3 linked regions of the Nothobranchius furzeri genome follow. The protein of the gene in region 3 purifies or fractionates together with the protein of the main gene of each other region. This does not show direct contact. Links are inferred from orthologs where the notes say so. Each region holds a gene or a part of one and is shown on either strand. Other genes may lie near its edges. The genes, in order: g3bp2a, g3bp1 and E3 ubiquitin/ISG15 ligase TRIM25.

Region 1 (3,650 bases), about 5.7 Mb from region 3:
GGCAACCCCCGTACCCGCTGGTGGACACCAGAGGTTCGGGGAGCCGTCAGGCTGAAGAAGGAGGCCTACAGGGCGTGGCTGGTCTGTGGGTCTCCGGAGGCAGCAGACAGGTACCGGATAGCCAAGCGGGGTGCAGCAGTGGCAGTTGCCGAGGCAAAATCTCGGGCGTGGGAGGAGTTTGGTGAGGCCATGGAGAAAGACTATCGATCGGCTCCAAAGAGGTTCTGGCAAACTGTCCGGCGCCTCAGGAGAGGAAGGCAGCAACTCGCTCACACTGTTTACAGTGAGGATGGGGAGCTGCTGACGTCAACTGAGGCTATAGTCGGACGGTGGAAGGAATACTTTGAGGAGCTCCTCAATCCCACCAATGCGCATTCCGAGGAGGAACCAGAGCTGGGAGGCCTGGGGATGGACTGTCCGATCTCGGGGGCAGAAGTTGCTGAGGTAGTCAAACAACTACACAGCGGCGGAGCCCCGGGGGCGGATGAGGTTCGTCCTGGGTATCTCAAGGCTATGGATGTTGTAGGGCTGTCATGGTTGACACGTCTCTACAACATTGCGTGGTCATCGGGGGCAGTTCCTAGGGAGTGGCAGACCGGGGTGGTGGTCCCCATCTTTAAGAAGGGTGACCTGAGGGTGTGTTCCAACTATAGGGGGATCACACTCCTCAGCCTCCCTGGAAAGGTCTACTCCAAGGTACTGGAGAGGAGGGTCCGATCGATAGTTGAATCTCAGATAGAGGAGGAGCAATGTGGTTTTCGTCCTGGCCGTGGAACTGTGGACCAGCTCTATACCCTTGCAAGGGTGATGGAGGGGGCATGGGAGTTTGCCCAACCAATCCACATGTGCTTTGTGGATTTGGAGAAGGCTTATGACCGTGTCCCCAGGGGCACCCTGTGGGGGACGCTCCAGGAGTATGGGGTGGGTGGCTTTCTGTTAAGGGCCATTCAGTCCCTTTACCAGAGGAGCGTGAGTTTGGTCCGCATAGCCGGTAGTAAGTCGGACCTGTTCCCAGTGAGGGTTGGACTCCGCCAGGGCTGCCCTTTGTCACCGGTTCTGTTCATCACTTTTATGGACAGAATTTCTAGACGCAGCCGTGGTGTGGAGTGTGTCGAGTTTGGTGGCAGGAGAATCTCGTCTCTGCTTTTTGCGGATGATGTGGTCCTCCTAGCTTCATCCAGCTCTGACCTTCAGCTCTTGCTGGGTAGGTTCGCGGCCGAATGTGAAGCGGCTGGGATGAGGATCAGCACCTCCAAATCTGAGACCATGGTTCTCGACCGGAAAAGGGTGGCTTGCCACCTCCGGGTCGGGGGAGAGGTCCTACCTCAAGTGGAGGAGTTTAAGTATCTCGGGGTCTTGTTCACGAGTGAGGGTAGGAGGGATCGGGAGATCGACAGGCGGATTGGTTCGGCATCTGCAGTGATGCGGACGCTGAGCCGATCTGTCGTGGGGAAGAGGGAGCTGAGCCAGAAAGCCAGGCTCTCGATTTACCGGTCGATCTACGTCCCAATCCTCACCTATGGTCATGAGCTTTGGGTAATGACCGAAAGAACGAGATCGCGGATACAAGCGGCCGAAATGAGTTTCCTCCGTAGGGTGGCCGGGCTCAGCCTTAGAGATAGGGTGAGGAGCTCGGACATTCGGGAGGGACTCGGAGTAGAACCGCTGCTCCTCCGGATCGAAAGGAGCCAGTTGAGGTGGTTTGGGCATCTGGTCAGGATGCCTCCTGGACGCCTCCCCGGGGAGGTGTTTCGGGCATGTCCTGCCGGCAGAAGGCCCCCGGGTCGACCCAGGACACGTTGGAGAGGTTACATCTCCAATCTGGTCCGGGAACGCCTTGGGGTCCTGCCGGAGGAGCTGGTGGACAAGGCCGGGGAGAGGACGGCCTGGAGCTCCCTAGTTGGGATGCTGCCCCCGCGACCCGGACCCGGATAAGCGGAGGAAGACGAGACGAGACGAGCTTCCTCTTTGAGGAAGATGAGTTGGGTCATGAACTGACACTAAAAATAAGTGTTTTAATCTTTTCAGCTTTGTTTTTGTTAGCGGTCTGCTTCGTATGCTTACATGAGGTGTGCTCATGAAGTAGTGTGTCCTGCTGGAGAGACGCCATGCAGTCTGCCTCACTGAAATCTTACGCCGTACAGTGTGACACTTTCTGGAATTCTCAAGTGTGACTTGAAAATTCCCGTGTGACAGCCAAAAAAATAATAAATCGCTCAGTGTGATCCGGGCTTGAGAGAAGTGATACAGAGCAGGAGGTGAAAGCAAGCGTTGACTGGATAAACGTGCAAAACAAAATACTTTAAATAATGAAACGATATGGAAAAATTCTTTGTGACAGCATGAAAAAGGAAATTCCAGAACAATGGACTAAAAAGTGGTAAATCAAATAAAAGATGAGTCCCCAAACCACCACACAAATGAAAATGGGTAATGAATTGTTGATACATGCCCCTTCTACCTTGGCCCCCAGGATTCTTTGCACGGGATCGGGGTCATCGAAGACCACAAACCCAAAGTTGGGCAACTTCCCACCGACTCCTTTGGTGTTGATTCGCAGCTCAACCACGTTCCCATAAGCTGCAACAAACAGAAACAACATTTACTGGATGATGACTGCAGAAAGCTGAAGATACCAAAGTGTTGATTTCTGAGAGAAACAAACATACTCATGAAAAACTCCTTGAGCTCGTTCTCATCGATGTCATGTGGAAGGTTGCCAACAAACAGCTGGTGGCTGTCCGGGTACCGCACAATCCTCCTGCTGTCCATGTCCCCGGATTCAGAGTCTCCTCTGCCACCTGAACACAAACACACACCAGATTAGCAACATCTGCACCACATAAACAACGGATTAATATTCTAATCTAATAATAAAGCGTGAAGACAAGTGATACCTTTGTTAACAAAACTTAAGTGTGGCTTCCCTGTTTGTGTCTCTGAAGATCCAACACCATCTATTAGTGACAGAAATGTGCAGACAGTAAAGGAAAGAGAGTCCAAAGGGGAAAGTGGATTAAGGCTGAAATTGAGAAGCTTAAGTATTACTGGGTCGGGGACCTCGCTGGGTGAAGGTTGGTCTATCGCGGGTTCGCTGATCTCTGGGGCGAAGCGGTGCTGCCTGCGTCTCTTGCTTTGTTGTTTCAACTCTGGGCTGCATAAAGCACATCACACAAGAAAAATTAAGCCCCACATGGTACCATGTACACATAGGCTAAGGCCCAGAAATAACCAGCACACCGATAATGGGCCTCTCTTCACAAACGTTTAACTAGAGCGCTGCTTTCAGGTTTTTACTCTGGTGCATCTTTAGACACAGAATTTCCTCAAATACATATTGAATGTTGATATTTCCATGGTAAAGTCTGACTTACCTGTGAGCTCGGAGCTTTAACAACATGTGGGGAGATTCCAGAAGAGGGGACTGTGCCAGTAGGAGGAAGGTTTTTACTGGTCACCAGAGCCCAGGAGAAAGGCTGGGAGAAATGAAAGTGAACTTTAGAGCACCATTAACGCCCGTGTTCAACATCTGTGCATCTGAAGCAAGAACAAGAAACTTTACTAAATGACTGTATAGTAAAATCTGTTGTGAGACGTAGGAAACAAACAGCACAACCTTCAACTGGAGCGCTTTTCTGTCTTAAACTGTG
Region 2 (4,405 bases), on a different chromosome or scaffold from region 3:
TTTGCACCATCTCTGATCAGAACGCAAACGAAAAAGTCTTAAAAATTGTGATAAGAAAGCAAAGACAGGGATTAAACACTGTGTGTCAAGCTAAACTCTTTTTGACATTGTAATGTGATGTGAGTAATTAAAAGTTTGCACTGAACACTTATTTGTAACATCAGAAAATCCTGGCTGCATGAATTGAAGGTGTGTCTATGAAAATCGGCTTGAATGAGCCAATTCAACATGAGAACACGCTGTTCAGATCTGACTGCCATTTAAGGTTGTTCATGTCTTCAGTCTGTCTGTTCAACGTTGTTGCACTGAGAGGTTTCATTTTCCCTGGCTAAGGCTGCTCGTGGTCCCCTGGGAGACAGCAGAGGGAGATCCGGAGCACCCTGTTACCATCTCCACCCGCTCATCCAGACTCCAGCGTCAGGAATGTGAAACAACCCCAGGGCCCATGAAGCCTGAAGTCCCTCCTCTCTGCCACAGCAGGGAAAAAATAATGAGTTCATCATGCTGTTGAAGAGAAGGTTTGGTGATTTAACACATTAAAATCTCATTCAGGTCATAAAGTCATAGGTGTGGTTTTAAGGAGAATTTTAAGAATTTAACAAAAACTACGAAATAAAAAATAAAAAATACAGGTGAGTTAAACATTTGAAGTGGCACCTTTTAGATTTGATGTTTGAATTTTTTTTAAAGAACCATCATCTGTGTTCTGGCTAACTTTTTTAGGATTGTCAATAATTACAGCTGGATTAATTAGTGATTAATAGATAATAGCTGATTAGATAGATTTCTTTCCAGTTTCCATAAAAAAAGCACATTAGCAAAACATTTGTACTACACATGAATCTAATACTTAAGATATCATATGTGAGGAATGACTCTGGAGGATTTCTTTTCCAGCTCCACAATATTCAATTATTTCATTTTGAATTTCTTTTTTCCTAAATAATTATTACAAGTTATAAAAGTTTCTAAAAGGACAAATTTCCCAGGCAGTCTATTGACCCCTCCAAAGTTAACAGAGCTAAGAACAGAAACAAACTCAAGAAATAATAAAAAAAACAACAATTTTTTAATGAAAGAAACAAACTTAAAAAAATCACGTTATGACATTCACAATGAATATTATGACACAGAGAAGGGGGAATCTGAAGATTTCAGTACCAACATAAATATTGTTCAATCAATGTTGTCTCAAATGTTCCATGTTAGGTGTTTAAAAAGTTGTCCAAATATTTATACATTTGTAACTCTTTTGCTTTTCATTTTAGTTGACATAACGTCTGAATTGTTTTGTTTCGAGACAGAATCAGCATAAATCAGTCTAATCTCAGATAAAACGCGCTTGCATCAATCTTCCACAAATTACATTAGCTCAAATGTTGGCCAAACACTTTTGTCGCCTCCAAGTGGAGAAAATGTAACAGTGCATATTGACTACGGGAGACGCCAGTTCTTAAAACCATCGCACCTTAAACCGTTACTCAAACTTCCATTTTCATCCGGGATACTCCTTGGCGCTTTATTTAATTGGTTGCTGACTAAAACCTTAATCTTATTGGCCAGAGAAGCTCTGAGAGGCGGGACATCATGTTCAGTTGCGATTGCGAGGGTGAAACCACCGGTATCCGGGTACTCCAGCACGTTGTGAAGCCGCTAGTTAACAGGCAGCTGCTACGCTGGTTAAAAAAAGTCACATTATTTCAAAGCAACGTTTTCATTTTAATAGTTTGATCAGTTGGTGAGTTGTTTCGTTCCTATTTATGCTATCCTATTTTCGAAAAAGCAAATTTTCATTTCGCCGCGCTTATTTGATTAACTGGGTTGGCGTCCCGGTCTCCGTCTATTTTCTGGCCTTGCGATGATGTTAGCTGGTTTTGGCCATTGTAGCTAAGCTATTACATAGGTGTTATAACTGTGCAGTTCGCTTAATTATTAAATTATTTAAAACACAAGGCTGTTACTGAAAGTTTGAAATTGTAACTTATTTGAAAATAATTATTAATCCCCAAGTTTCGCTTTTGCTATTTCAGGAAATAGCCACCGCCCTTTCAGTCGTGACTCCCGTTTTCTTTCTTTACAATATTACTTTCCACATTTGGAATTGTATGATCGAACCGAATTTGGTAGTGTTTCGTTGGTTTTATTTGTGTATAAACTACCACCTTGGGTGTGTGGTCGCTAAAAGCGAAAGGTTAGACCAGGGACCGTGCGGGACACGTGCTGGGGCTCCTTCCGTAACCTAGCAGCAGACGGGTCTCTGTTCAGCTTTGAGGCCGTGAGCTGCTCCAGCTGTCGTTGTTCAGCTCCGTGGTGTGGCCGGGCGTCGTGCCATGTGTGCTCAGGTTATATCTGGTAACGGCCGCCGGACTGGCCTTTAGTCCCTGAGGCGAGCGGGGGCCTCCATGACTCCATCACGGCTGGCACGGCGTGGCCTTTGTCTGCTTACAGTTCGAGCACCTTTACTCAAGACCGTGACTTAAGATAATAAACACAAGTCCAAGCTTATCCTCTGCGCGCATCGTGGCCCGGTGGCACATTCTGATCTCGATGGATTGCTTTGCTTGTTTCTTTAACTCGGTTTCATTTCATGATGGATGGGATTTCGCTGGTTGTCTTTATGAGGATGCTCATTTCTGGTTCTGAATGATCTGATAGAAGAAGGATTAGACCGTAGCTTCTATGTGACTAACGTAAATTCTCAGGTTTGATTACCTGTTCTTTATTTGCCTCCTGCCTGAGCAGAAACAGGTTCTCTCACCAACTCATTCATCAAATGTTGCCATAATGTGCTGCATAACGCTAGGTGCCAAAATTATTGTTGCAGGATTGTTAAAAACTAAATGAAGACAATAGTTTTTGATGACTATTAGTTATCAATGTTTACATTAAAACATTTTACAGTTAAAAATATTGTCTTTGATCAGGAACCTGAGCTACAAGTTTTTATTTCATTTTTACAAATTGATGTAAATATATCAAGACTAATGATTTCACTCTCTGTAGTCTGTGGAAGTAGCTGCCTTATGAATTTCTCCACTGTCGGATTAATGAAGTTATTTTATTCTGATTCTTGGATCAAATCACCAGTTTCTTTGTCCCTACTTGGAATCACAGTCCGTCATTTTCTTTGTCAGTGACACTTTTCTTATTTGCAGAGATTTCCAGTTGACCAAAGAAATGGTGATGGAGAAGCCAAGTGCCCAGCTGGTCGGGCGAGAGTTTGTCCGACAGTATTACACACTCCTGAACCAGGCCCCCGACTACCTGCACAGGTACGGAAGTCAGCTGCTTGTGGAGGGTTTGATTTTGAAGTTTAAATGGTTTTATGATAAATTGTTAAATATTTGTACAAACAACTAGTTTGTCTTTTTGTTCAGGTTTTACGGAAAGAACTCCTCCTATGTGCATGGTGGCCTGGACAGCAACGGCAAACCAGTAGAGGCGGTTTATGGACAATCTGTAAGTGGGCTTCACCCAGTTAGAGGCATTTTCCAGCGGCAATACTTGGTGCAACTCGGGAGGGTTCGGTTTGGTCTGATTGCTTTTGTCCAACGGCGCGTTTTGGTATTTTTCCCCTGCTTTCCCTCTACTTTTCAGTCCCTCTGTTTTGGTTCCAAGAGCTGAACCGGTATTTCGACTGTCGGCCACTGATTGGCTAGGGGGCGGAGTCACTGGTTGCTCCAGAGCCTTCTGTCTGCTGTCTGAAACCATAAAACTGAAGAGTGTTCAACATCACCTTTATTTTTGTGCAGAGTTGTTTCTGTGGAGCATGCAGGTCACCTCACAGTGTGTACTGATGACCTTGTGCTATTTTTGTCGCGTAAAGATCCCTGCACAAGCAAATGCTGTGGTCCCCCCCATCCGCTATGAGGGGTGCACCCACTTTTTGTCTCTGAGCAGGCAAGGAAAGCCAAGTACTCTGTGGTGAGCCGAGTTAACCCACGCTGCACTGAGCTGTTTTAGCCTGAGTAGTGCTGTTGGAAAAGGCCTGTTAGGTGTGTCTCATAGTCTCATGAATCTAGAATGTGAAATATTCATGAATATATTTTCTTTTCAAGAGTCATTGTTACACACTTGTTTTTTTCTTCCAGAAACTAAGTTTTCTAGGTAGTTTAACATTCTGATGAATGTTTATCAGTACTTTCTGATTTATTAATCCTCACGTAAATTGTTTTATTCTAATGCTTGTTAAAATAACCATTATCGCTCTTGTCATGTAGTTGGATAATTGAGAAATGATTGATTGCTGTTAAATGCCCAAATTAAATCTTCAGTTCGTTAAATCTTTTGAATTTTTTTTTTATCAGGAGATCCATAAAAGAGTGATGGCTTTGAGTTTCCGAGACTGCCACACTAAGATCAGACATGTGGACGCTCACGCTACTCTGAACGAAGGCGTGGTGGT
Region 3 (3,650 bases):
TCACACAGGACAGGTTAGTGCAGTCACACAGCCGAGCTGGAGGGGGACAGGTGTTGTCCTTCTTTATATTGCAAGCTTGTGTGTTATGTGCATTACAGCCAGCAATCCAAACAGCAGCAGTATAATCACAATTTGCAGATCACGTTTATTTTTCACAGAGATTGGCCGCGGATTCCTCTTCCTGTTGGCATTCTAGGAATTGAAACTAGGAATCGAAATAAAAAACTTTGAACGATTCCGGGAAAAATGAACAGTTGAAACTGGTTCCAATGGATGCTCGATGCCCAACCCTACTACAGACATAATTCCACTATCTGAGTGGAGTTTCTATTCTGTCTTCAAAAGCCCAGAAGATTCTGCAGTGCGTGTTGACATTTCAGGAGGACAAGATTGTCAGCCTGTGTTCCCAAACAAAGCTTTCGTCTGGTAAGACTGTAGGATTCCACACTCTGAATGAAAAGTGTACTGTTACAGCTCATAATCATTAAATAATCATATGGTTGAACCAAATGTTATTTGAGTAATGTTTGGATAATCTGTGCCTAATTCAGTGAAGTGAAATGAATATTATTATTACATTGAAAGATGTATATGTTAGGATCAGCAATGTTGATTTAACAAGGGAATCATCATCATGCTCATCATAAGATATAAATTACGGTTAAGGCCACATATCGCATAAGTTTAAAGATTCTTTATCCACAGAACATGAACACCTTGTATTAGATGAAGGTGTGGTTCTGAGGGATGTTTGGTAAACCTACAAACATGTCAAATTCTGATTTGCCAGAGTCGTAACATGGTGGATTAATAAAACAGGATTTACTTCCCAATTAACTCAAGTTTCTAGCTGACACCTCGATTCGGCCAAATCGGGAAAGAAGTCTTTTTGAAACAACCTCCTTTCACCTTAATTCAAAACCTTGCCACAACGCTGCAAGTGATTACAGACACAACAGCTCATTCCAGAGCTACTGCAACTCTCAAGATATCCTCTTGGATGCTTAATCTGCAGACCCGAGTTGTATCTCATGACCGGGGAAGTTGAACTCAGAGGAAGTGACCATTCTCTGAGGATCGTGGTCTCGACGTCCGGTGACCTCACCACTCTGACCACAAACCTCCAGACCGCCGGGAGCAACTCATACAAGGGTATCGTAGACTGCATACTGGTGTCTGATGCCGTTCTATAAATCATCAACTCTCTAGTTTATAGCAGACCAAATTCTGTTACACCCAGAACTCACAGTTTCTTCCAGATACGAAGGTTCTGATATACACCTACTTCACACATCACCATTCCATCATCACATATTACATTCCATCACATATCCTTATTCATAGCTTGTTATATATTATAATTAGTCTAGAAAATAGTTTATTTTTAATTATATACTTGACTCTGTCTGAATTAATACGAAGTGTGTTTATGGTCCCTGAATAAGCAAAGAATCTTAAATTCTTCTGGTTAAACATTCAAAGATCAATCAGGTTGATATTCTATATTTATATAGAATCATCACATCTTATTGGTCATAATTTAACCTCACAATTTCACTACATAATGGCGAGCCAGCCACATATGAGCGACCTGAGCTGGAGGTTAATAATTGATCCACCTGGAAACTCCCGATTCTACCTGGATTCTCTCTGGGTTCAGCTGCAGCCTGACACCCTCTGGCACCAAAATCCTCCTTCAGGTTTTCCATAGATTTCTTCAGGTTTTCTGAGGTGTTTTCAGCAGACTGGAGAGGACTTTTGGTGTTTTCTAAACAAAACAAAGTGAACTACTGTAAAAACATACAAAGACAGTTAAAACCAACAGACATTCTCAAGTTTAGGTAGCTTACATATCTTCCCGAGGCCCAGAGATGGCTTGTAGCTAGCGATGGGTACCGAATTCGGTACTTTTTAAGGTACCGACCGAATTCCATAGTACCGACTGAACACCGATTCACGTCATTTGAAACGGTGCCTCGTTTCGGTACCCGTCCTTCGCAACAAGAACTTGCCTAGACAGCTGAGCAAGAGCGTTAAGTCGTCGGTCGCTGCGAGCGAGTTGTAAACAGAGCAGCATGGTAGAAAGAACGCACGCTAAAGCTTGGGTCCACTTCACTAAATGTGATGGGTAACTGGGTGATGATGAAACCAGCGACAACGATCTAAGTGAGACATCATCTTAATCTGCTCCAGTAGGTAAATAAAATGTTTAAGATAACGTTAGCTTAATATGTTAGCTTCCGTTCTGCTAATGGTGTGTTCGCTTTCTCCTCGGAACTCTGAATTTCCGAATAGAAGAACATGAACGCGCTCTAAAGTTTGGCTTCACTTTACTAAATGCGACGGGTGATTAGGTGAAGATGAAACCAGCGACGACGATCTAAGTGTGAGGTATCATCGTTTTAATCTGCTCCAGCAGCTAAATAATCTGTTTAAGATCACGTTAGCTTGATAAATTAGCTTCCATTGCCACCATTATCAGCTAATGGTACGTTCGCTTTCTCCTCGGAAATTCTATCTTCCCAATGGGAAAAATCAAATGAAAAAGGACGGCAAAAGGAATGAAGATACAGAGTAAATTTAGTTCACAGTAAAGATGTTTGCTTCAGTTTAATTATCAGCTTATAAAACTACAAGGACGATGTTAAAATACAAACAGTTGCATGTTATTTCTCGTGATATTTATCAAATATGGTTATATATTGAGAAAAATATATATTGAAATATTAAACACTCAAAAGTATCTAAAATTGATACCGTTAAGTACCGGTATTGATTCCTAGGTACCGGGAATTAGCACTGAATCGATTCAAATGTCAAAGGTACCCATCCCTACTTGTAGCACTAGATTTTATTGTATCACATCTGTTAAGATCAAACATTTTAAATCTACCTTTTTTATTTGGCGGCTTCTTCTTCTGGCCCGCTTTGGCGGGCGGTCCAGGACTGTGGGATCTGGGGAGTCTCATAAGAGGAGGAGGAGGGAACTTAAGCTCTGAAAATTTTAGAAGAATACGATCAGTTTGATTTATTTATTTATTCATTTTTCCTACATATCACAACAAACTGACCTGACTGCTGACTAATTGCTGGATTCCCTTGTGTAAATCCAGTGGCAGAAGCTACCTTTTCACCTGCAGATGTGACAAAACGAATAATCTTCACCAGCTCACCTACTTACATTTAAAACACGCATCCACGGAGAGAAATCACACCCCTAAATAATGTTTTGATTACGTTCTTGTTTCCACCACACCCCAGAATAAACCAATCACCCTCTGCATTACTGTCAGCTATCACCTCTGCAATAAAAACGTGACAATATTTACTTCATATTTCTTTCTTCATGCATCTAAAATGAGTGATACCTAATTATTTATTTGCATGTTCACCTCTCTGAAGTATTGTTATCCTGGTTTCATGCGGATGTTTCAGGAGCTCCACCAGAAAGTTCTTCAGGGCTGCAGTAAAGGCCTCCGACTGCTTCACCTTCTTTGAGTCTAGACTGAGTCGAGGGGTATAGGGGTCAAAGTTCACGGCTGGAGGGAGGTTAAAATGAGCCTGGAAGGAGGAGAAACACCAGACTTTGAGGTTGAAATAATGTGAAAATGCATTTGATAAAGCTTTGGACCGGGAAAAAAAAACAATTC

Evidence for each region.
Region 1: the proteins of E3 ubiquitin/ISG15 ligase TRIM25 (region 3) and g3bp2a purify together in Homo sapiens (affinity purification with mass spectrometry; 4 studies listed by BioGRID and IntAct, counting the BioPlex papers as one, with this or other methods). This does not show direct contact. The link is inferred for Nothobranchius furzeri from reciprocal best matches to the Homo sapiens genes TRIM25 and G3BP2.
Region 2: the proteins of E3 ubiquitin/ISG15 ligase TRIM25 (region 3) and g3bp1 purify together in Homo sapiens (affinity purification with mass spectrometry; 4 studies listed by BioGRID and IntAct, with this or other methods). This does not show direct contact. The link is inferred for Nothobranchius furzeri from reciprocal best matches to the Homo sapiens genes TRIM25 and G3BP1.

The regions. Positions count from the first base shown.
Region 1 is NC_091744.1:13,129,041-13,132,690, reverse strand, and holds part of g3bp2a (ras GTPase-activating protein-binding protein 2), read right to left. Parts: intron 3,477-3,650; coding exon 3,375-3,476; intron 3,155-3,374; coding exon 3,049-3,154; intron 2,958-3,048; coding exon 2,898-2,957; intron 2,802-2,897; coding exon 2,670-2,801; intron 2,581-2,669; coding exon 2,453-2,580; intron 1-2,452.
Region 2 is NC_091741.1:69,283,012-69,287,416, reverse strand, and holds the start of g3bp1 (ras GTPase-activating protein-binding protein 1), read left to right. Parts: upstream 1-1,603; 5' UTR 1,604-1,738; intron 1,739-3,155; 5' UTR 3,156-3,177; coding exon 3,178-3,272; intron 3,273-3,377; coding exon 3,378-3,459; intron 3,460-4,307; coding exon 4,308-4,405. UniProt on the Homo sapiens protein: Protein involved in various processes, such as stress granule formation and innate immunity. Plays an essential role in stress granule formation.
Region 3 is NC_091744.1:7,424,789-7,428,438, reverse strand, and holds part of E3 ubiquitin/ISG15 ligase TRIM25, read right to left. Parts: intron 3,562-3,650; coding exon 3,393-3,561; intron 3,135-3,392; coding exon 3,072-3,134; intron 2,996-3,071; coding exon 2,894-2,995; intron 1,769-2,893; coding exon 1,640-1,768; intron 1-1,639.